Linked DNA regions of Rattus norvegicus. The protein of the gene in region 1 purifies or fractionates together with the protein of each later gene. This does not show direct contact. Links are inferred from orthologs where the notes say so. Each region holds a gene or a part of one and is shown on either strand. Other genes may lie near its edges. The genes, in order: Phrf1 and Csnk2b.

The links.
Region 2: the proteins of Phrf1 (region 1) and Csnk2b purify together in Homo sapiens (affinity purification with mass spectrometry; 3 studies listed by BioGRID and IntAct, with this or other methods). This does not show direct contact. The link is inferred for Rattus norvegicus from reciprocal best matches to the Homo sapiens genes PHRF1 and CSNK2B.

What each region holds. Positions count from the first base shown.
Region 1 is NC_086019.1:205,764,849-205,776,925, forward strand, and holds part of Phrf1 (PHD and RING finger domain-containing protein 1), read left to right. Parts: intron 1-1,248; 5' UTR 1,249-1,270; coding exon 1,271-1,364; intron 1,365-2,405; coding exon 2,406-2,528; intron 2,529-6,899; coding exon 6,900-7,105; intron 7,106-10,058; coding exon 10,059-10,142; intron 10,143-12,077.
Region 2 is NC_086038.1:3,700,540-3,713,319, reverse strand, and holds Csnk2b (casein kinase II subunit beta), read right to left. Parts: upstream 7,598-12,780; 5' UTR 7,479-7,597; intron 6,885-7,478; coding exon of another isoform or gene 6,874-6,884; coding exon 6,802-6,873; intron 6,222-6,801; coding exon 6,119-6,221; intron 5,284-6,118; coding exon 5,168-5,283; intron 4,822-5,167; coding exon 4,746-4,821; intron 4,610-4,745; coding exon 4,420-4,609; intron 3,549-4,419; coding exon 3,458-3,548; 3' UTR 3,321-3,457; downstream 1-3,320. Other genes in the region: Ly6g5b (lymphocyte antigen 6 complex locus protein G5b precursor), read right to left, coding at 1,552-1,949, 2,206-2,334, 2,431-2,488; Gpank1 (G patch domain and ankyrin repeat-containing protein 1), read left to right, coding at 8,516-8,552, 9,237-9,846, 10,402-10,846. UniProt on the Homo sapiens protein: Regulatory subunit of casein kinase II/CK2.

The DNA.
Region 1 (12,077 bases):
TAGGAGTGGGGCCCTTGATCTTGAGCCTGCCTTTAAGCTTTCTTTCTTTTTTTTTTTTTCTTTTTTTTTTCTTTTTTTTTTCTTTCCAAAGCGTTTATTACATCTTGAAGAGGAGAGGCCTTTAAGCTTTCTTATGTTGTCTTTTTCTGTTCTGTTTTGTTTTTCTCAGACTGTGGCCATTAGGCTTGGTGGGAAGCATATGGTATGCCACAGGATAGGCTAGTAAGTTCTTGAATGAATTTTCTGAGAAAGGTGCTTCCTCTGGAAGTAACTGGGAAAAGGTAAGTGGCACTGAGGAGTAAAGACTATGTATACGAATAGGTTCTTATTTGGGGAACCAGAGTCTGAGAGCTTGGTACAGAAGGAAGGTCATGTCCAGTGACATTTATGACCTTCCTCTCTTCTCCTCTCTTCTCTCCTCTCCTATCTCTTTTCTCCTCCTCCTCCTCCTCCTCCTCCTCCTCCTCCTCCCCCTCCTCCTCTTCTTCCTCCTCCTCTTCTTCCTCTTCTTCCTCCTTTACTTCCTCCTCCCCCCCCCTTTCATTTTTGAGGTGGGGTTTCTTTGTGTAGCCCTGGCTGTCCTGGCACTTGCTCTGTAGACTAGGCTGGCCAACAAGTCTTTTATACAGGTATTCCCAATTGCTTTTACAGTGACTTACGAATGAGGACTAGCAGGTGTCCCACAGCAGGAGAGGGAGGGACAGCCCACCATCTTCTGCTTTTCAGCTTGGGCCACAGGAATGCCATAGTCCCCAGGAACTTTATCTGCAGTTTATAATCTGATGGTAGCCAGGCAAGCAGAGGCTAATGGGCCAGCATTGGCCAAGAGTGACATGCCCACTTAGCGACAGCCAAGTGGGCAACTGAGCATTGGAGTCCTTGTGATGACTGGCTCTCAGGTGAAGAGTGCTGCTTTGTTTCAGCTCAGGTGTCTGCTTGGTTCATGTTTGATATTAGGACTCTTCAGGAATACTTGGGGAAAATAGTGCCTGAAAAATCAGGCATTCAGATTCTACTTTGCATATGGTTCTGAAAACCAGTCACTGTCTCTTATGAAGATATATTTTATATTTTGTATTTGTACATGTCTTTATGGCTAGGGTCCTGTATATTGTGTCTCACAGTTCAAATTCTACATGTGTGGCAGTGCTTAGGTCTCAAGGGAGGTTCCCTTTTGGGAATGGCACCTTTCAGGAGGCTCTCTGTAGCCAGGGGAGTTTGGAGTTATTTGGTTCTGATCTCTTTCAGAGGTGAACTCCAATGTGCAGCCATGGATGATGACAATTTGGATGAGCTTGTGGCTCACAGCCCTGGGCCAGATGGACCTCCACAAGTTGGCTCCTCAGAACTAGCCAGTGATGCTGGTAAGCACCCCCACTCCTACCCCCATCCCACTGCTGGCAGGATGTTTGCAAAGGAATAGCACTTATAGCACTTGGTACTTTCTCCAGGTTACTAGCTCCTCTTGGAAGCTTAAATGTCAGCTTTCACTTTCAACCTTAAAAAACTTAAGTTATAGAAGTATAGTACATTCATTCTTTTTTTTTTTCCTTTTTTTTTCTTTCTTTTTTTTCAGAGCTGGGAACCGAACCCAGGGCCTTGTGCTTGCTAGGCAAGCGCTCTACCACTGAGCTAAATCCCCAACTCCACATTCATTCTTTTTGTTTTGCTTTTTTTGTCTTGTGTTTGAGATGGTGTCTCACTGTGTGGTTCAGACTATTCTTGAACTTCTTGACTCGTGGTCAGCCCAATTCAACTTCTCAAATTGCGGTATTGCTGGTAGCTAAGTCTACAATCAAATGTCACTGTGTTTGGTCTTTTTGTGAGGAGGGAGTATTATGAATGGAACCGAAAGCCTTGTGCATACTTAGTAAGACTCTACTGTTGGGTTCTAGGTTTTGGAACAGGGTCTTTGTGGCATAGGCTGCCTTCTAACTGCAGACCTCTTGACTAAACTTGCAGACTGCAGAGATTGCATGGTTTTCATTTACTTGTTTTTGTTTTTGACTGGATTTCCTGTATCCCAGGATGGCTTTGTAACTTGCAGTGCAGCAGAGGATGCATCTGATCCTTTTGCCTCCACCTCTCAAAATGGTGGGATTATAGATGTTCACCACTATACCTAGCTTTGTATGGTGCTGGGGATATGAACCCAGGGCTTGATCATGCGAGGAATGCAGGTTCTACTAGCTGAGCTGTACTTCAAGCCACTTTGTCTTATTTTTAATGCTAGCAACATAAATACAGAGTAAGATGACTCGTTTCCCCCATTTTATGTCTAACCACACACACACGCACGCACACACCATGGTAGCTTGGTAGTATACCTGTATATTCTAGAGTGGTTTTGGCTCTCTGCTTTGACGCTGCCCTTTGGGGTCTGTGCTTTTCATCTTGTGATCTAGAAGAAAGCAGCAATGGCCACAGTGAAGACTCTGAAGATGATACAGGCAGTGAGCAGGATGATGACACAGATGGGGAGGAAACAGAGGGGCTGTCTGAAGAGGAAGACCCAGAAGATAGATCTGGTAAGATTGTAGGCATTTGAGCCAGTTACCTTGACTCTCTTAGTGAGGAGACAGCCTGTGTTAAAACATCCACAGCTGAGCGCGCTAGCTGTCACCTGCCACGGAACAACAACTGACTTCAGCTGGAGTTTTTAGTTTTTAAAGTTAATTTAGTGATACAATTCTGTGGGTATCTCTTTCTAAGAGAAAATAAAACGTCTTAAGAACATTGAGCAACATAAGCCATTTGAGAATGGGGAGACAGGAGCTCTAAGAGGATGAGCAGGGATTCTTGGTGGCCTCTCTTCATTTCACAAGGGCCAACTGCTAGCATCACCCAGGTGCAAGACAGCTTAGCAGACCTTACTTACGAGGCATGTGGCATGGGACCTCTTTTAGGACAAAGGTTGTTAGTCCTATCTTATAGCTTGTTCTTTGCTTATTCAACCAGCTCATTGTGGGTATTATTAAAGTCCTGGCTTCTGTGCACTAGAGAAAGTTTGTTTATTTATTTATTTATTTATTTATTTATTTATTTATTTATTTATTTTTGGAGCTGGGGACCGAACTCAGGGCCTTGCGCTTCCTAGGCAAGCGCTCTACCACTGAGCTAAATCCCCAACCCCCTGGAGAAAGTTTATAACTTGGAACTCATGCAAAGAATAGTGCTTGAATGACATACCTCTACTCTGGAAAACCTTCATGGCCACCCTAGCCTATGGGCAGTCTATGAGGGTTCTTTGTATTGTCTTGGCCCCACCCACCTATTGCTACCTTTCTTACCTGTCTTAGGGTTTCTGTTGATGTGATAAAACATGACCACAAGCAACTTGGGGAGGAAAGAGTTTATTTCATCTCCCCGCTTGTGGTCCATTGTCTAAGGTAGAAGCTTAGAATTCTCAAGGCAGGAAGTGATGCAAAGGACATGAAGGAGTGTTGCATACCGGCTTGCTCCTTCGATTTGTTCAGTCTATTTTCTTAGAGCACCCTCCACATCCAGCCCAGGGCGTCACTGCTGACAGTGAGCCTAGCCCTTCCACAATGCAATAATAACTGAAAATGCTCTACAGGCTTATCCACGAAACTGTCTGGTGCAGGCATTTTCTCAATTGAAGTTCTTTCTTCCCAAATGAGTCTAGCTTGTATTAAATTGACATTAAAATTGGACTGAGGCTTCTATTAACTTCAGGTCTCCTTCTGGTGGCAGGCTCAAAGCACCTACTTATACATAAATTTCATTATACCCTTTGGTTGTTGATGAGAATGTTCTAGAGAAGTGACTCTTCCCTTATCATTGGGACAGTACTCATCATGAAGGAGTAGAACTGACTGTGAGTTAAGTAACCTTGTATTGATAATGAGTGCCCAGTTTTCCAAAGCTAGCTAGCCTTGAATTCACTCCATAACCAAACCTCAAATTCCTGGCAATCTAGACTAGAGAGATGGCTTGGATGTTTTTTTTTTTTGTTTTTTGGTTTTTTTTCCTTCGGAGCTGGGGACCGAACCCAGGGCGGTGGCTTGGATGTTAAGAGCACTGTCTACTCTTTCCAAGGTCCTGAGTTGGTGGTTCATAAACAGTCAGTTCTACTCCTTCATGAAACCTAGTGCTCTATTCTGACTTGTAGGCATATATGTAGGCAGAATGCTATATACATAATAAATAAATACTTTTTTTTTTAAAGATTTATTTATTTTATGCATGTGAGTACACTGTCACTGTCTGTCCTCAGACGCACCAGAAGAGGGCATCAGATCCCCTTACAGATGGTTATGAGCCACCATGTGGTTGCTGGGAATTGAATGCAGGACCTCTGACTGCTGAGCCAACTTTCCAGCCCTCGAGCCAGTGTCTTAAGGCATGAGCGAGTAGCCAGCATCTGGTTCAGTAGATACCAAGGAGAATCACTCAAGGGTCCTGGGTTCCTTCTTATAGGAAACGTCTTTTCACTCTTTGGTTTTCCCACCCTATATCCTGCTACTAAGGTGTGCCTGCTTTTGCTGCTGCTGGTGTGTTCCTGTGTTCCCCAATGTGTAGAGTATTAATCTCTTAATATCCTACTCTGAGAACTAATGCTCAGCACCCAGGTCTCTACTCAGTGTCCGTTATTATTGCATTCATAGATTGTTTAGAGCCTTCCACAGTTCCTCTGCAGTTCTCTATTCTGCTCATCAATCCTGTCTCCTTTCAGAATGGACACAATTTGAGGCCTGGTGTTCTTGGAGACTCTGCCTTTAGATACACCTGGTCTCTAGGCTAGCCACCTACTGCCCTGTTGGTACTAGCGCTTGTTAGCACCTCCCGTGGGTATTGTCTCAGTTACTTCTGTTTCTGTGATGAGACACCATGACCCAGGCAATTTATAGAAGAGTTTATTTGAGGCTTCAGTTCAGAGGGTCAGAGTTTGTGACCATCAAGGTGGGGAGCAGTAGGCAGGCAGTCTGTCACTGGAGCAGTAGCTGAGAGCTCACATCTGGAAATACAACTATGAGGCAGAGACACCAACTGGGTAATGGTGTTTTGAAACTTCAAAAGTTCTCTCTCAGTGACATACCTCTTCCAATGAGGCCACACCTCCTAATCCTTCCCACACAATTTCACCCACTGAGGAACAATATTCAAATACAAAGAGCTGTCATTCTTGGGGTTGGGGATTTGGCTCAGTGGTAGAGCGCTTGCCTAGCAAGCGCAAGGCCCTGGGTTCAGTCCCCAGCTCCAAAAAAAAAAGCTGTCATTCTCTTTCAGCCACAGCATATTTTAAGGACATTATTTGGCAAGCCAAATGAGAGTTCAGTGAGGGAAACTGCTGGGGTCCTTTTTTCTACCTTCAAGTCAGGTGTGGCTGTTCTCAGCATCCAGCGCATTGCTCTGTAGGCACTATGGAAATTAGGCAAAACAAGATGGCCAGGTCCCTACCTTCAGATTGCAGGGGAGAAGCAGATCCATCTCTTCTCTTTGACTCTGCTACCATGAGCCTCAGCTCGCAGGGGAAAGCTAGAGTTAGTTGTCATTCTGCTATGGAAGCTCCGTTTTCTAGCCGATTGTTAACAGCCATTCTTAGCTACTATGTTATCACACTCCCTTTGAAGTGGGTATAGCTGTTTGTGTCCTTCAGTGCCAGCACGAGCAGCCCCTGTGCTTTGCAAGTGCTCACCTGTGTAGAGGCAGAAGGATCAGGGAGTTCAGGGTCATCTTCATCTACGTAGCCAGCTTGGACTACGTGAAACCTTGTCTCAAAACAAAACAAAACAAACAAAAACAAACAAAAAAAAAAAACACAAGGAGCTGGCACGATTGCCAAGTGAATGACGGTGTTTGCCACCAAGCCTGACAGCCTGAGCTCAGTTCCTGAAATTCGTATGGTAAAAGAGAGAAACAGTTTCCATGGTTTACCCTCTTCTGCCCAATAATTAAACAGATGGTTGGTTGGTTGGTTGGTTGGTTGGTTGGTTGGTTGGTGGTTGATTGGTTTGGTTTGGTTTTTAAAAATCCTTTAAAAAGAGCTTATGTGGTAGGATTGATCAACCAGGGATAGTTCCGCTTTATGGGTTGGCAGCAAGGCTCTGGAGAAGGGCAGCCTAGCACCTTTGTTAGTCCTACTCACAAAGAATCAAATTCTGAGCCCCAGTACGATCTGCTTTTCTGGTCCCTGTGTTAGGTGTTTAGTAGTTCATAGGAGCTTGTTTGCTAAATGCATCTTCATGTTTTCCTTCTGACCCAGCCCCTGCTTCATACTGCCGAGATTGACCAGATCTTTTATAGTCACTAATCCAGTTAGGATCTTCTGTCTGTATTCCACTAGGAAGGAAGAGATGCCCAAGAAGAAGGTCTTATCTAATAGCATATATTTGTCGTCATTGTGTTGAAAGACTTGTGCAGCTATGCAAGGGTTGTCCTAAGTGGGCATTCTTAGGGGTGTAATCATTATTTTGTCCTGTGTATCCTCCACGCCCTCAGAGCTGAAGACTGAACCTGGGGCTTTAGACTTCTAAGTAAGTGCTCCCCATCATGGAGCTGAATCCCTAACCCATGGTAGTTTAGTTGTTAGTTCCATCTTCTCTGCAGCCTGTGGTAGCTCTTGAACCCTAACTTCTCGGATGTTATCTCACAGACTCAGGTGAGAGGAGCTAGTGTAGTCACTTAGCCAAGCATCCCTGTCCTCTTAGCTCTGGGCAGCTATGGACAGAGAGGCTTCAGGTAAGGGGCTTGGTTCCTCAGAATGGGTATTGTGTGAGTATGCCTTTGCGGGTAGGTAGGAAGGCATATTTCAAGAGGAGCTGGGATTCTGGCTAGAGGCAAGTGTCCTGAGTGTACTTGGCTCTGCTTGAGGCCAGTCCTTGAGCACGCACTTGTTTCTATAGTTACTAAAAGCATAACATTTCCATTTACCCAAGGTTCTGAAGATTCAGAAGATGGAATAGAAGTGCCAACAGCAGCAGTGGAGACTCAAAGGAAGCTTGAAGCTAGCAGTACACCCAATTCTGATGACGATGCAGAGAGCTGCCCCATTTGCCTCAATGCATTTAGAGACCAGGCTGTGGGCACCCCAGAGACCTGTGCCCATTATTTCTGCCTGGACTGCATCATTGAATGGTCCAGGGTGAGTTGGCTTTTTACTGGGCTACTCTTACCCTTTGTAACTAGGCCTTCTCTGCAGCAAAGCTGAACACAGGGCTGAGCCCAATTTGCTCAGCACTGTGGGGATGTGTCTGTGGGTGACAGGGCTTCAGAGAGGATGGCTCTGGCTTTTCTGAGGATCAGGACATAAATTCTGAGAGAACTTCACATAGTAAGTGTGAAACGGCCTCTGTAGATACTGAAATGGTATAAGTGTGATTACTCAGTCTGATGGCAAGATGATGTGTGTACAGGTATGTGGTGTGTGCCTGTGTTTACATGTAGAGGCTAAAGGATGTCGGGTATCCTGCTCTGTCAGTTTCCACATTATTCCTTTGAGACGGGATCTTTTACTGAAGCTACAGCTAGATTGGCAGCCGGTAAACCCAAGCAGTTCTCTCATTCTCTGTGGTATTAGCATTAAGAGATGCAGGTATAATCTTACCCAGGTTTTTATGTGGCCGTTGAGATCTGAGCTTGGATTCTTGTGCTTGCATAACATATCCTCTTATCCATTGAGCCAACCCCTTCCTTAAGAGAAAAAAAGTCAAATAAGAGGTTTTATTGCCTGCTTTTCTGACTGTCCCCAATGATGCTGGTAGTGTGGTGACAGATCCCAGCAATGTTATCAGGGTTATGCCTCTGATACTCCATTCCTTCTCCCCAAGTAGCTTCAAAGCGTCTCTGTGGTTCACTGTAAGTGGTATGCAGATGGCAAATGCCTTTCTTGTGCCCACAGTTCTGTCAGCGTAGTTTATTGTGTCAAACTTCTTTTTTCTCTTGTGAGTCTCACTGATTAGATTCAGATTAAGTTATTTCATTCTTTAAATTGAACAGCAAGAGGTTGGATGTGATGACACATGCCTATAATCCCAGCATTTAGGAGGGAAAGACAAGTAGTGGGTCTGAGTTCAAGATCAGCCTGGTCTATATAACAAGTTCTAGGCCAACCAGGGCTACATAGCTAGAACCTGTCTCAATTAATTAGTTGAAAAGCAAGTCAGTCTGTTTGCTGTGCTTATGATGTTTTTTTTTTTTTTTTCGGAGTTGGGGACCGAACCCAGGGCCTTGCGCTTGCTAGGCAAGTGCTCTACCACTGAGCTAAATCCCCAACCCCTATGATGTTTATTGGTAAGAAGGCATTTGAAAATAAGCTTATTAGTAAAGATCTTACATATCAGTTCAGATGTTGGATTTTGTGAGATAGCTAGGTACTGGGTTAATGAAGGTGAAAAATTTAGACTTAAAAAAAAAATGAGTCAGGGAGATGGGTGGTGGTAATAGACACCTTTAATCCCAGTACTTGGGAGGCAAAGGCAAGCAGATCTCTGAGTTTGAACCAGCCTGGTCTACAGAGCCAGCTCCAGGATGGCCAGGACCACACAGAGAAACCTCTTCAAAAAACCAAGGATGGGGGTAGATAAATAAATGAAATATAATCAGTCAGGCACTGGAGAGATAGCTCAGCAATTAAGAGCACTGGCTGATCTTTCAGAGGACCTGAGTTCAGTTCCCAGTGCCCACGTAGTTGCTTACAACTGTATAACTCCAGCTCCAGGGATCTGACACCTTCACATAGACATATAAGTAGGCAAAACACTAATGTACATAAATTAAAAAAATAAGATCAGGGTCAAGGAGCTGGTCCAGCAGCAAAGGATCTTGCATCAAGCATGACAGCCTGTGTTTGCTCTCTAGGGGCCACATGGTAGGCGAGCACTACCTTCAACAAGCGGTCCTCTGACCTCACCTCTCACAGTCAGTCAGTCGGGCTGGCCAGCAGGGAAAGCACATTGTCTTCTAGTCTCTTCACATCTGCTGTGGCACGCATAGCCTTCCCTGCCACCTCACCTTGTGGGACATGTGGTGCACAGCTATAATTCCTAGCATTTAGGAAGATTGCCATGGGTGTGATGCTAGCTTTGGTTACCTAGTAAGTTCTAGGCTAGTCTGGGCTACAGAATGACACCCTGTCTCAAACTCTTCCACCAAAAAGAAAGGGAGGGAGAGAGAGAAATTAATATTAAGCCAGTCAGACCAGGGAAGATACAGTGCCTTGGTTCTCACATAACTGTAGTGGCAGGACATGAAAGAGAGGTGGCAGACCTGGGTGGCCCTCAGTTTATACATTTATCAGAATGTAGTGGAGTACACAGCTAACAAAGGTATGTTTTATTGTATGGTATATTTCAGGAAAGGCAACTTGAGCTGAATAGACAAGGAAAAAAATCTTTGTAGCCTACATCTGATTATCATACACACTGAGACCATGTTCAAGGTCCCGTGAGCAGTTCACAAAGGCCTACGAGAAGATCTGGGATAGCAGCAAATAGACTGAAATGCTGGTTACTCAGTGTTTCCCTTCCCTGCTCTCCTTTTCCTTCTCACCTACACGACACCTGTATGGGAGCATGCATCCCGCTTGTTGACCATTCTCCCTCAGTAGCATGGTGACCTCAAGTTCTCACCATCCAGTTCTAGCATCTTAGCATAGGACTTCAGCCAAGACCAAGGCGATCGGTACAGATTTCAGTGTAAAAGGAATTATTATTATTTTTGTTTTTTCAGGACAGGGTTTCTCTGTGTGTATCCCTGACTAGCCTTAAACTCGAAGAGATTGCTTGCCTGTGCCTCCTGCTGCCTGCCTCCCAAGCACTGGGATTAAAGGCATGCACTACAACCACCTGGCTAATAAAAACAACTTTCTAATTTGTTGTTTCAGATAATCTGTAGATCAGGCTGGCCTCATATTCATAGTTCTCCTGCCTTGGCCTCCCAAATGCTGGGATAATGGCCAGGTGCTACCACCTCCATCTTAAAACTGTTGCTTGTTAAGTGAATTCTTCATTTTGAAGAGAGTCATAATGATCGTAATAAGTAATTGATGAGTAATGAGGGATTATGCAGGATTCTAATCCAATCTTTATTTCTTACAGAATGCTAATTCCTGTCCAGTTGATCGAACAATATTTAAATGTATTTGTATTCGAGCCCAATTTAATGGTAAAATCTTAAAGAAGGTAAGTGTAGATACTGCCTACCCCTGCTTGTATTCTTGTAGGAAGAGCATGACTTGCTTTTTTTCTTGTGAGGTGGTTGTCAGTTCAATTAGGCTTAAAAAGGAGTGACTCAGGCATCCTTTTCGGCCCTGACCAAGCCTAGGGCTAGGACTATCCATATTTACTGGGGCATAGAGTAGGAGTCATGGAGATGTTAGGGGTTTCTGGGCTTCTGTTTCCTCACACCTTCTTACTACAGAGCTTCTCTTTGGCCTGTCTCCTTATGAACTGCACTCTTGGCATGTGGGAGGTTGCAGTAGGGTGGGACAAAGGGCCATCTAACTGAAGTTTGGAAAAGTACTGTTGGGACTGGAATGAAAGGTGTTTTTGCTTATTATTTATTGTCCTCTCTCTTTCTCTTCTTTCATTACTCCTTTTTTTTCTCTGCTTTTCCTATCTGTCCCCCCAAACCGCCCACCTCCTTTCTTTTTTTTTCTTCCTTTCCATGGATTAAATTCTAGGCCTTGTGCATGCTAAAGCAAGCTATACAACCAAGTGCTACAACTTGAGCCCTGATTGTTTTTTGTTTTTTTTTTTTTTTTTTTTTTTTTTAAAGATTTATTTATTTATTTTATGTACAGCATTCTGCCTGCATATGTGACTGCAGTCCAGAAGAGGGCACCAGATCTCATTACAGATGGTTGTGAGCCACCGTGTGGTTGCTGGGATTTGAACTCAGGACCTCTGGAAGAACAGTCAGTGCTCTTAACCACTGAGCCATCTCTCCAGCCCAAACAGTTTCTTTTTTTTTTTTTTTTTTTTTCCGGAGCTGGGGGCCGAACCCAGGGCCTTGGCGCTTGCTAGGCAAGCGCTCTACCACTGAGCTAAATCCTCAACCCTGATTGTTTTGTTTGAGAGAGGGTCTCACTGTGTAGACCACACTGGCCTTGAACTCCCAAGAGTTCAAGAATGCAGGAATTAAAGGCATGTGCTACCACTCCCCATGTATCCCTTGTGTTTTTTTGAGACAAATTCTTACTGTGCATCAAAAGATCAGCCTTGCCATGGTTGTGTACATCTTTATTCTCAGAACTGGGAGGTAGAGGTGGGTGGATCTCTCTCTCTGTTTGAGGACAGCCAAGAAAACATAGTTAGATCTTAAAAGGTGGTGGCACACACCTTTAATGCCAGCATTTAGGAAGCAGAGACATCGGCAGATCTGTGTGAATTCAAGGCCAGCCCAGTCTACAGAGTTCTGGGACAGCCAGGGCTACACACAGAGAAACCATGTCTTGAAAACTAAATAGACAGACAGACAGACAAACAACACCAATAAAACAACAAAACAAATTTCAGTTCTCTTGTTCTTTGCCTTCTGATCCTTTTGCTGGTGATTGAACCTAGGACCTCTAACAGGCTGAGCAAGCTCTGTGCCACTGAGCTACATGGCAGGAGTGTTGTTGAGCTTGTGCTTTAAAGTCCTCATGTGCTCTCCGCGCCTGTGCCTGGCACTCACAGCGCTGGTGACTCAGTTCCATGATGTATTCTCACACCACAGGCTTGTCATCATGTTTGTTGCTTACTTGTTTGTTTTTAGAGACAGGGTCTCTGTGTAGCCCTGGCTGTTCTGAACTTACTGTAGACCAGACTGACTTCACACTCTCAGAGATCCACCTGCCTCTGCCGCCCAAGTGCCCAAGTGCTGTGATTAAAAGCCTGCACCACCACTCCTGGCCCCTGGTGCAGTTCTTGCTTTTACTTTTCTAGTTACTTGCCTTGCCGTAGAGACAACATGAAGGTCACCTATGTCTTAGGGTTTTTTGCTGCAACAAAACACTGTGACCAAAGAGCAAGTTGAGGAGCAAAAGGCTTATTTGGCTTATACTTATATATATTACTATAATGAATACATTATTGAAGGAAATCAGGATAGGAACTGAAACAAGGTCGGAACCT
Region 2 (12,780 bases), on another chromosome or scaffold:
ACCCTCTTCCTGCAGGGCAGGATCTAGCACTGGGCTGTGAGGGGTGAGCTTGACTGCAGTCACCTGGAAGTGCTCGTAACACCTGGATGACCTACTCGTCCTCCATTGAATAATAAGAGAGTTATGCAAATCACCCACGAGTGATTTCTCTGTGCTTGAAAATTTCCCATTTATTATTTGAGACAAATGTGTGGCTTTGGGTGGAATTCACTATGTAGACCAGGCTGGAATCAAACTCAGGAGATCCACCTGCCTTGCTTCCCAAGCGCAGGGATCAAAGGCGTGCACCGCCTCTGCTTGATTAAGAAGGTGCCAGGACCCTTGAAATGAACTCGCTCGCTCACTATACCCGGACACGGACTTGAGCTTCTTCTCAGGTGAAAACATGGCACCGCGAGTTGGCTTAACGATCCAGGCTTTTTTTTTTTTTTTTTTTTTTTTTGGTTCTTTTTTTCAGAGCTGGGGACCGAACCCAGGGCCTTGCGCTTCCTAGGTAAGCGCTCTACCACTGAGCTAAATCCCCAGCCCCCAGGCTTTGTTTTTTAAAGATATATATATGTGTGTGTGTGTGTGTGTGTGTGTGTATGTATATATGTATGTATATATATATGTGTATATATGTATATAATGTATATGTGTGTATGTATATATATAATACACACACACATATATATATGTATATGTGTGTATATATATATATATATATATATACATATATATATATATATATATACACACACACACACTGTACCTGAGTTCAGAAGGTCATCGGATCCCATTACAGATGGTTGTGAGCCATCTTGTGGTTGCTGGGATTTGAACTCAGGACCTCTGGAAGAGCAGTCAATGCTCTTAATCACTGAGCCATCTCTCCAGTCCAACGTTCCAGGTTTTGAAGGTTATGGTTGAAGTGGGGCAACTGCCTTCATGCTTTGGTCTTTAGCTAAGCAGAGGGAGGGGAAGGATGTGGCTTTTAGGGTAATTTGAAAGGAAGCCTTAAAGACCAAATAGAGTGGGTAGGGTTTGGATATCCTGTCTGAATCCCACACTTAACTCTTTGACCTGGTTACACCTGCCCACAACTGAAACACACGCACACGCACACACCACCGAACATTATGACAGATTTTTGCCAAGTTCTGGTTTATTATAGAGGAAACATGGGAGCCGCTGCAACCCCTCACCAGGCAGGCAGGCAGTAAGGTGAAATGGGGTCGCCGCGCCAGATGTCCAGGCACCCTTTGACCTTCCTGCTGAAGCCTGGCACTGAGTCTTAGGTGTGGCATATGACCAGACTGAGGGTACCTGAAGACCGGGACACTCATACGGGAACACTGTCAGGTCAGCCTGGGCAGAAGCCATCTTTAAATTCTTGAATAGGAGGGAGACAAACCAGCAGCCAGACCTGGGGCCACTACAGAAGCTGGCCATGGAGAGCAGAAGGAAGCCTAGGAGATTACAGGTATCAGGATTTGAGTGCTCGCAGATCTGGGCAGCTCAAAGGACGAGGCTCCCAGCCAGAGCAGAATCTGGGAAGGGGGATGGGACATGTCAGGGTCTAGCCTGGGGAAGAACCAGAAGTCCTGAACTGTTGAGGAACAAGTATATTTTGCGCAGGTCGGCAATGGACAAGCCCAGCCCCGGGGGCAGAATGAGAGAGTCCGGGCCCTCAGACACCTTATGAGTGTGGAGGTCAGGCTGAAACAGAGGGAGGTGCAGGGCCTGGTAGAACTGTTTTATCTGAGACTCAGAGAGGGGCACACCCAGATGGTTTCCTGGGGGCCCAGGCAGAGTGCTCTGGTGCTGGGCACTGGACCAGGAGTTGCAGTAATCATACTGGCAGCAATTAACCCTATACCAGTAGTCTGAGTAGTAGATGACGTGATTTTCTTGACACCGGAAGGAGTGGTGCTGTCCACAGCCCCGTACGTGGAAGCGAACCTTAACATCTAGAGGAGAGGGGACAGTTATAATCCTGGTTAACAGCTTCCCACGGTCCCCGAACCTAACTCTTCCCGCACTCACGCAGACCTCGTTTTATTTCGTGGAGGGGGAAAAGAAAAAAATAACCAGCTCACTTGTCTGCACACCCTCCCTCCACCCTTCAAAGATAACTCTCGTCCTTGAGTGGCCCAAACCACCCTTATGTTGAGGAGACCAAGCCACACTGCTCTACCGTCAGCCCTTTCCTGGGGCTTGGCTCACTCTGATAGATGGTGATCACCATGCATGGCGAGGAAGAGCTGATGGTGCACTTTTCTGACCCAGAAATGCAGCCTATCGAAGGGTCTTCTAAGAAGCACAGGTGGCAGGTACGGACGCTGGCGACCGGAGCTTGGCGCAGAGAACAAAGGAGACGGAACCAGGAGGTCTTTCAAGCACACCCAGGACCAGCTCTCCCCACTCTTTCCAGACCCTGGCCTTACTTACCCTTCCCCAAGGCAAAGCCCACCATGGTCAGCACATGGACAAGCACACAGGCCCTCATTATGGAATTTCAGGGGAGAGGAGCAACTCCCGTGGAGTAGCCCACAGCCCCACCTTCCTGGGATCACACTCCTTGATCTTCAGAGGCAGAATGGGTTAGACAGGCAGTCTGAGCAGAAACTGCTGTGGGTGCAGAGGTGCACTCCTGTCTGAGGCAGGGTCCTGACCAGAGGAGGAAGTTATCTATTGGCAGGAAGAATGGCCCGTCCTCACCCACACTGTCTGGTTTCCCATGTGGGCCACAGCCGAGTACCAGCTGGCTTTATCAGGTGTCTTCATCCCAGACACTGCCTTGAAAGGCCCATACCCCCACCTCAGGGACCACGGCTTAGTCTGTCTCTGGCACTGCCTGCTGTCCACCTACACAGCAGGGTTGGTCCCCATTATTCGGGGAGAGGTTGGCCAGAGACAAGCCTCCCCAACCTTTCCAGATGTGTCTCTGTGTCTCGGCTCTCCCAGCAGGGGGCACACAGACACCACTGAGCAACTGGGACTCTTTGCCTCCTCTACAGCTCTATTTGCTGAGGGGTAGAGCCCCTTTAGCAGCACAGCTGAGGGAACTTCCCATGAAGCCCCCACAGCAGACACAGCCAGAGCCCAAAGGGAGCAGGTCTTCTCCAGCCTTTGAAACCTTTCTTCTCAGTCTGGTACTTGACCCGACCCAACCTAGAACGCTGCTCTGATACACTATAAATACCTCCAGATCCATGAGGCACCAACCTGGGCTGCTTCCAACCTAGGGAGGACAGACTAGACCTTGCGGTCCCTGGAGTCCAGCAACCACCCCTTCCGTTCCTCAGCCCTTCCCTAGCAGCACGCAGCAGGAGACAAGCTCATAGCCTTTTCTTCCTTTATTTCATATCCCCACCACAGTAACAATTCCTTTAATTTAAACTAAAAACCATAGACTTCCTGAAAGGGTGGCAGCGGAGGGACGGTGGTGTCACAGGCAGAGGAGGTGGGAGGGCACTCAGCGAATCGTCTTGACTGGGCTCTTGAAGTTGCTGGCGGCTTGGAGCTGCAGCTGGTAGGCCATTGGATGGATCTTGAAACCGTAGAGCCTGGTGGGGGAGGTCAGAGAGGGAGCACGGTAAGCTCTCTGCTGGCCCTGCCAGCGGTGGTCACCCACCTCTACTCCAGCCTCCTCCTCATATCTTCTCAACAGGACAATTTCCTCGCACATGAATACATGAACTATGCCTCTTTCTCTCATTGGGGAGGAGCTTGTTTTTCAAGACAGGGGTCCCATGTCTAACAGAGCCTTGGCCTCGAACCCAGAGATCTGCCTGCCGCTGCCTCCCAGTGTGCAACCATACCCAGCTTAAACAATGTGCCCTAAACATCCACTAAAATTAAAATTCCAGGCTAGGTACTGGCCTGTCTCATTTACAGCTCGAGGTCATCTTAGCCAACAAAGACCCTGCCAGACACCCCCTGCGCCCCTGACACCTGTGCCAAACCAACCAAAGAGCCATAGTAAAAGTACAGCTGAGGGAGAGAGCTCAGCAGTTACGCTGGGTTAAACCCACAACCCACACTTGAAGTCTCACATTTAAGAAGCTACAAGATCAGTACCTGTACAGGATGGAACCCTTCCTTCCCGCATACAGTAAAAATAAGGTCCAGGATGATAAGCCATGCTACCACAACGCCCGAGGACGTGGGGGAAAAGGCTGAACACCCAAGACGGCAACAGCCACAGCCACGATTTAGACAGTCAAGTGCCACACACCTAAGAATGTTGCTAGGGAGGTAAAACTAGCATCCCTGGTTCACAGATAAGGGACACCCGAGCAATCACATGACTTCCCCATCGCTAGCAGGAAGAACCCTGACTTTGGAATGGTCAGGCCTAAAGAAAAGCCATTCTTGTTCTCAACTCTCTCCAGTCCTCGGGTGACTCTGAGCCTCTGTGACTGTCTCTGCTCCCACCTGGGCACAAACTGGTTGGCCGGCCGCTTGGGCCGGTACTCGGGATGCACCATGAAGAGCATGTGAGGGAAACCAGTGCCGAAGTATGCGCCATCCGTGTGGTGGTGCCTAGAGGACTTGGGTGTGTACACGTCCATGCACTTGGGGCAGTAGAGCTTCACCATGGCCTCTCCTGGGATGTCCGAAAGGCCTGGGAGATAGAAAGCCAGAATGCAGACCAGGAGTCCCCAACTCTCCCCAGCCTCCCACAGGACTCAGGCACTGTGTACACCAAGCCAGCTTCTTGCAGGACGGCCAGAGAGTGCCCTCCTCCCATAAACACTCACCGATGGGAAGCATCGGCTGGTTCTCACAGTATACTCGAGGACAGTAGCCAAAGTCTCCTTGCTGGTACTTTTCCAACTGACATGTATAAAACAGAAGGGAGTGGTCGGTGAGTGCGTAGGCAATCTCAACGCACTCCCGGTTCCCCCACGCCTCCCGAGTCTGACTAGAAGCCCCTTCTGTGGAGACAGGCCCTCCAACCCCTCAGGTGCTTTTCCTTCGTGGGGCCGGCTGCAGAGCACAGGGCTGTTTGCCATGTGTCCCCTGCAAACTCCTTTTTCTGGTTTCATCTCCCTTCCTGAAAACACCACCTTCAATGGGACCCTCAGTGGCCCTGCCCTGGGCATCTCCCTCTCTCCTCTTCCCCAGCCTCTGACTCATGCACCCTTCCCCTCCTGTAGAAGTAGCAGGAGCAGAGCCTCACCATTTGTGCAATGCCCCGGTTGGTGAGGATGTAGCGGGCGTGGATCAACCCATAGAGCATCTCGGCCGCCTGCTCAATCAAGTCACTCTGGTTGGGGTTGTCTTCCAGCTCTTCATCTGAAATGTGGGGCGGCCACTTGTTTAGCTTCCCTAGGTATCCCTACCTTACCTGCAGTACCTGTTCCTAAGCTCGCCCTACCCACCATCCATGCATCTGACCCAGAAACCTGGGCTCCTGACTCCTCTACAAGGTCAAGACCCTCAGCGCAGCCTCTCTGTATGCCTTAGTCTCTGCCTAAGTCCCTCTCTCCTTCCACAGTAAGTAAATGTAAACACACAACCACAGAGGTGGCCCTCGAGGGCAGCAGAGGGAAAGAGGCAGCACACCAGGCCCAAGAGGAAATCACCATTACAAAACAGCCGAGCTGCTTTCAGAGAGCATCAAGACCAGGCAAGGAATCAAAACAGTGGAGAAGTTAAGCACTGCTGTGTGCCTCTCTCCAGCATGGAAAGCTAGGGCAGGACAGCACGTGGTAAAGTCCAGTTTGGGTTATGAATGGAGGGGCTAGAGGTGGGGGAGGAAACACAGGAGCAAGCGAGAATCAAAAGGAAATTTAGAAATTCAAGAAGCAAGCCAGTCTGTGATTCCAGCACTCAGGAGGCAGAGGCAGACAGATCTCTGTGAGTTCGAGGACAGCCTGGTCTACAGACTGAGTTCTAGGACCGACAAGGCTACCCAGGAAAATCCTGTCTCCACTACCCCTCTCCCCGCAAAAAACAAAACAAAACAAAAACAAACAAACAAACAAACAAACAAACAAAAAAACCCCAACATCAACAAATTCAAGAAGCAAGCAAGCAGAGAGCAGAAGAGAACGGAAACAAAGCACCCACAAGTGCACTCTATCACCAACCCCACAGTCAGCAACAACCCAGGACACACGTTAGTTACCAGGTTCCAGGTCCAAGATCATGTCTAGGGCTTGTCGATAGTGAGGCACCTGCTCATTGAGTCCAGTAAGATTAAATTTGTCCTGGATGTAGTCTTCATCCACCTACAGGGGAGTCAAGGGGTTCAAACCAGTATAGAAAGGCCCGTCATCTTCCCACCTGGGCCCAGGAGATAGTCTTTCCTCAGCCAAGCCACCTCTCATGTTTCCTAGTCCCAGTTCTGCAGAAGTACTCAAGTTTCATAAAAACTGCAGCTCTTTTCTTTAAGGCAAACCAGATCCAGCACACAAAGACATTATTCAGCTTCTGTCCCTCATTTTACAAATTGCATGTGCCCTCTTCTTGGGGACAGCAGACTCCTGAGCTGAAGACCTCGGAATCATGAAGGTCAAGTAGTTTAGTTTCTGAAAGGTATTTATAATTTTCTACCTTAGCACACCGTGCTTTGCACGTTACACAACTTTGACATGAGAGGTTTTAACTGCCCTAATGGTCACCAGAGACACCTCTGTTAGCCATGCATATTGACAAACCCTCACAATACTAGCACTCAGGAGGCGGCCGGTAGGATTGCCAGGAGTTCAAGGCCAGTCTAGTCTGCATAGTGAGCTCGATCGAAATCTGCTCTCAAACGACGTAAAATCAAACATCGAGGGCATGTGGAGTTGGCCGACCTAAACTCACCTCACAGAAGAATTCATTACCACGGAGCCCACAGAACCAGGAAATCCAGGACACCTCCTCAGAGCTACTCATCTTTATGTCCGCTGAGAAAGAAGAGCCTAAGTAAGTGGAGACCAAGCTGTTTCTGGTCTCTTCCCTCCTCCCACACGTTCTCCACAACGACGGATGAATCCGAGTCCAGCCGGGCTTAAAGGATCCCGGCCTCTGAAGCATCTCCAAGCTCCTCTCCTTTAGCTCGGCCCCCCCTTACAGTGTGCTGAGAACGAGTTCCGCTACTTTCCAGAAAATGACAGGTCCTGATCTGTTAGTGTTACCCCCGTCCCTGGCGCTCCTCACGGCCAGGCCCCTCTCCCCTCCATGTCAGCCGCGACAGGGCCCTCGGCTCGGGCTCCCCACCACCGCAGGTGCCTGCATATTCCTGGCGCCTGTCCCAAAGCTCCCGAAGTTCATTTTACCCAACAGAATCGGCCTCTCCTGCCCTCGCAGGGTTGGCGAGGGCACCACACTTCCGTGGGACTCACGAGCGTCCCCACAAGCCGCCTCCTCTCCCCAGGCCCCCCGACCTCCTTCGGCTACCGACCCGGTCACTTCCTTCGTCGCCCCCACATCGAGGAGCACCGACCCGAGTGCCGCGCCCAGGGACCGGCGACTGGGCGCGGAGACAACCCCACACTCACCGGCCGGACGGGGACTGGGACTGGGGCGGGGAAGGGGAGCTGTGCTTCCAAGGAACGGCAGAGACCGCTACAGCGCAAAAAGCCGACCCGGCCGCGGCAGACGAAGTGGGGAGGGGGGGACTGGAAACTGGTGAGGGTTTAGGGGTTGGGGGGGAGAAGAGAGCAACGCGCAGGCGCTAAGGACCGCCCCCCTACCTCCGTGGACGCCGGGAGATGTAGTCCCGTCAGGAGAGAGAAACTGACGAAATGAAGGGAAGGCAAACTACCAATCCCAGGAGGACCCGCGCATGACTCTAGGGCCGCGAGGCCCTAGAGGAAGCCGCCCGGGGGCGGGGCGAACGGAGCGCCACCGGAAGCGGAAGCCTAGCACGGAGTCTTCTCGACCAGGAAGCCTGGGAAATATAGTCTTAGGAGGCTGGCTAGACTACGGGGCTAGCGCCCGGGGTGATTGTCATCCCTACGGTGCTCTCTCGGCGTTGCGCTTTAGTTTTTCTCCCTCCTCCCCGTGCCAGGCCAACCCACTGGACCCTGGCTCTCCTGCCAGGCCCGCGACAGAGCGCGCTCGGGCTCCGGCATGCGCAGAGGTGTGGTGAGGGACTTAGGTCGGGTGTGCTTAGGACGCGCTGAGCTGTGCATACGGCGTGAGAATCTAGACCGCCCTGCGCGCTAACCTGAGGTGGGGCCAGCCATTCTGCCGCTCGTCCCTTTGTACTTCTCCATTTCCTCAGAGCTTGATGGAGCGTCCTGCTGCGGACCCTAACTGTTCTTCAAACCCTGCTCAGAGTAGTGGTGAGGGGTGCCGTGATGTTACTTCATCTCACAGCTCCTCGGCATTCCACAGGTCTCCCCCTCTGTGTCCTCAGAGTCTTTCTGAACGCAGAGGGTGGCCTCCCAGCTCCAGGAAAGGAGCTTGGTGCTGGAGGGACCAGGGCGAGGGTGGCGAAGAGCATTGTGGGGGCGTTATGTAAAAGCAGGACCCCAACCGACAGGTTCCCCCTTGGGTCCTCGCGCTCCTGGGCACGCGATGCTTTACACGGATGCTTGGAAAGGTTCCAGCGCGGGAAACTGAACCTTGTGGGTGTTTTGTTGTTGTTGCTGGTGCGCATGCGTCATGGCTCCCTGTAGCTCTGATTGTATCAACTCTTAGAGATTATGAGAGCGCCATTTTGCGGTACGGAAATGACAGTGCAGCGTCTTTCCCCGAAAGCTTCCGGAATAATGTCACGCCTGTTTTTTATCTGGGAAAAGGAGACCCCCCCTAGATAAGATCGAGCAAGATTTAAAAGGCTGAACTGATATTTTCAAACGGTATGTGTTAGAGGACAGGAAAAATGATTTCAGAGAGAGCCTGGCATTTTTGTAGGAAGATGGGAGTTGAACGCAGGACCCCTAGACCCCTATTCTTGTGGAATATTTTTCCTGTTATCCTTTTTCTTTTCTGTGTTAGAGATAGAACCTAGAATTCTCAAATTCGGGGCGAGCATTCTACCCAGAGACATAGGTACCTACCATGCCCTCCTGAAATTATATTAACATTGTGGCAGGATCAGTTATTCCTGGGTTACATTTTATCCATGAGCCCTGGGCTCTACAGAATCCTAGGTATGAAGTCAGTGTGGGGATGGAAGGTCCATTTTAGTTGTAGGCTGCTGGGCCCCTGGAGGTGGTGCTGGTCTTCACAAGAGCTACCTGAAAGGTAGGCTTGCTTGGCACATCCTCCTGCCTTGCCTGGTCTTCATTTTCTCACTTTTCCCACAGCCATGTCCAAGCCATCCCTCATCACATTCACTCCAGCCACCGACTCCAGTGACCTCTGGAAAGATGGTCAACAGCAAGCACAGCTCGAGAAACCAGAGCCTGTCCTGGATGGGGCCGCAGCCCGGGCTTTCTATGAGGCTCTAATTGCAGAGGAGAGTGGTTCCCCTAAGCCCCGGAGAGCCGAACCGACCAGGGAGAGAAAGAGGAAGAGAAGAAGAACTACCGCAAGGGAGCCTGTAGCAGCAGGGGTCCCGAGACAAGGAAGAGCACTTGAGGATGAAGACAGGGTGACCCAGTGGATCCTGATGGCAGCCCAGAATGGGGATCTGACAGAACTCCGGAGGCTGCTGGAACCCCAAGAGGCAGGGGGAGCTGGAGGGAATATCAATGCTCGTGACGCCTTCTGGTGGACTCCCTTGATGTGTGCTGCTCGAGCGGGCCAGGGCGCTGCCGTGCGCTATCTCCTGGGCCGAGGGGCTGCCTGGGTAGGAGTCTGTGAACTGGGAGGCAGAGACGCGGCTCAGCTGGCAGAAGAAGCAGGCTTCCCTGAGGTAGCCCGCATGGTCAGAGAGAGTCGTGGGGAGACAAGGAGCCCCGAGAACCAGAACCGGTGAGGAGGGAGCCTTTGCTCATGCCCCATCTTTATTGTGTTCTTTCCTGGACACCTCCTACCAAGGGCCGCACAGCAGCTAGTAGGGGCCATTCATCTTCCAGTAGTTCAGTCTTAGAGCGGTAATAGACGTGGCCTTTGTGCGTTTGAATCTGGGTTCCATTTATTTGCAGAGCCAGCCTAAAGTCTGGGAATCTCAGTCCTTGTCTGAACTGAGGATAAGACTCTCTCTCAAAGGGCTGTTTAGATGCAGCAGGTCAGTGTGGAAAGTGTGGACGGTGCTTGCTGCTAGTATGCACTTTCTGAGTATCAGCACCACTCGCTACTCCTGAGAGCTTGAGACCTACCCAACATATTCCAAGTTGTCCCTTCTGGACAAAGGGAGAGGAGATGGCGTAGCTTGGTTAGAGCGCCTGCCTAACACTGGGAAGACCCTGGGGTCCCAAAACAAGATACAATCAAAAAAGGTGCTGCTGAAATCAGGAGAAAGGCATAAGGTGCTCTGCCTGGTGCCTGAACAACTTCCTCCCCTATAACTTATTTCTTTCTCTGCAGATCACCCCCCTCCTCCTCCCAGTTCTGTGAGGACTGTGGTGCCTACTTTGAAGACTCCAACCACCGCACATCTACTGCTCACCTGCTGTCACTGTCTAGGAGACCCCAGCCCTCCAGCCTTCCCCTTGGGGTACCCACTTCCAGTCCTGGCTTCAGACTGCTGCTGAGGGGTGGCTGGGAACCAGGAATGGGGCTAGGACCCCGGGGTGAAGGCCGTGCCAACCCTATTCCCACTGTCCTCAAGAGGGACCAGGAAGGACTGGGCTATAGATCCCCAACCCAACCCCGGGTCACACACTTTGCAGCTCGGGATACCCGGGCTGTGTCTGGGAAAGAGAGAGTTCCTCGAGTCGGCACGCTGAGTCAGAGGGAGAACAGAAGGCGAGAAGAGAAGGACCGGGCCTGGGAGCGAGATCTAAGACTATACATGAACCTCGAGTTCTGACTGACACAGACTGGCCCTCGTCTGTCACTGGCTGGGTGTGGGCCTCTGACTTGGACACTTGGGCTTCCAGACCCTTAGGCCTTGGCTACCGGGCTCTGCTTTTAGAGAAAAGGGTTGAGAGTTGGGAGATAAATAAACTTCCCTCCCTGTGTCGTGTTTACTCTCTTTTTTTTTTTTCTTTTTTTCTTTTTTTCTTTTTTTCGGAGCTGGGGATCGAACCCAGGGCCTTGCGCTTGCTAGGCAAGCACTCTACCACTGAGCTAAATCCCCAACCCTCGTGTTTACTCTCTTGAATGATATAGCAGGGAATTGGAACTAATCTGAGAGTCACTTGGAAGTCTCACCTGAGCCAAAAGGACAAGCTCTCCAGATGACAAAAGAGCCCTTAGTCCCGCTGGCCACATTCTACCCGCTTCTTTTTTTTTTTAAAGATTTATTTATTTATTATATATAAGTACACTGTAGCTGTCTTCAGACACACCAGAAGAGGGCATCAGATCTCTTTACAGATGGTTGTGAGCCACCATGTGGTTGCTGGGAATTGAACTCATGACCTCTGGAAGAGCAGTCGGGTGCTCTTAACCGCTGAGCCATCTCTCCAGCCCTCTACCCGCTTCTTGAAACCCTCTCTGAACTAGAAATTGCCCCACTTGTGCAAAACTCCCCTCTGAGTGTGAGTCTAGGCCAATCCAGTCAAGTCGGTGACTATCCTGGAATTATCTCTGTAGTGTGTCATAACCCAGGTGTGCTATGTGTTAAAAACACTGCAAGCCCTGGAACTCCGTGAGGAAGCCAGCTGTGATGAAATGTAACAGCTGGTGGGAGGGAAGTTGAAAGCCCCAGGGCTAGCTGCCACCAGAGCTCTGACCTCCCAGATGAAGATGACCCCACTCCCCTCCGCCCCCCAGACACAATCTCTCTATGTAGACCAGCCTGGCCTCAAACTCAGGTAAAACCCATGTGACTTTACCTGTATGGGGCATGTAACCTAGGGCTTCATATCTGTTTACTGAGTTGCAATTCCAAGGCTTAAGGCAGCCCTAAGATTCCCATTTCACTCCCTGATATACTTTTCTACATTTCTCTCCCATACTTGGCACCCCCCCACTCCCTTGGGATGCTTAAACGGGAGAGCTAGGAACATAAAAGTATTCAAATCCCTGTCTGGAAGGCCAAAGGGTAGCTGCTTAAGTCATGTGTGGCTTCTGTTATTTACCTTTCTGGACCAGCACTACAAGAAGTCACAGGTGAGAAATGAAGGAATGGCAGGGCTTGTAGGAAAGAACCACAGAGCAGCTAGAGTCCTAACATAAGGGAAGCAGAGGCTAAAGGATCGACTCAAAGCTAGCCTGGGCTATATATGTCCAAGCCTTTACTGAGCTACATATATAGGGAACCTGCCCTTAAAAGAACGAACAAACAAAGCCGGGCGGTGGTGGAGCGCGCCTTTAGTCTCAAGGAGGTAAGAGGCAGGCAGATCTCTGAGTTGGATGCCAACCTGGTCTACAGAGCTAATTCCAGGATAGCCAAGGTTACACTGAAAAACAAAACAAAAAATCCCAAACCAAGGGCTGGAGTACCTAACCAGTGTCAGCGGTGGGGGGCTCTGGGAGGTGAACAGCAGATCCCGGGTTCATACTCAGGGTCTGGCCTTAGGTGGTCCTCTCTCTACGCCTGCGCTAGTGAATCGCGGGGGCTTTTGGGGAGGTCGCTCTGTCGGGTCCGCCTCTCTGGTTGCGGAGCTCCGCCTCCGCTGGTCCCTCCCGACCCAGTACAGCTGCTTCCGGGCTCTCACGACTCCGGGAGGCCGCTCCCCGGACGCTGGGCCCTACAGCTACTCCCTGCGCGTAGCACCCCGACGCCTGGGTCTCCCAGGTAGGCCTGCACTGTGTCTTGCGACTGCGATCTCCAAGGACATCTCTGTTCTGACCTTG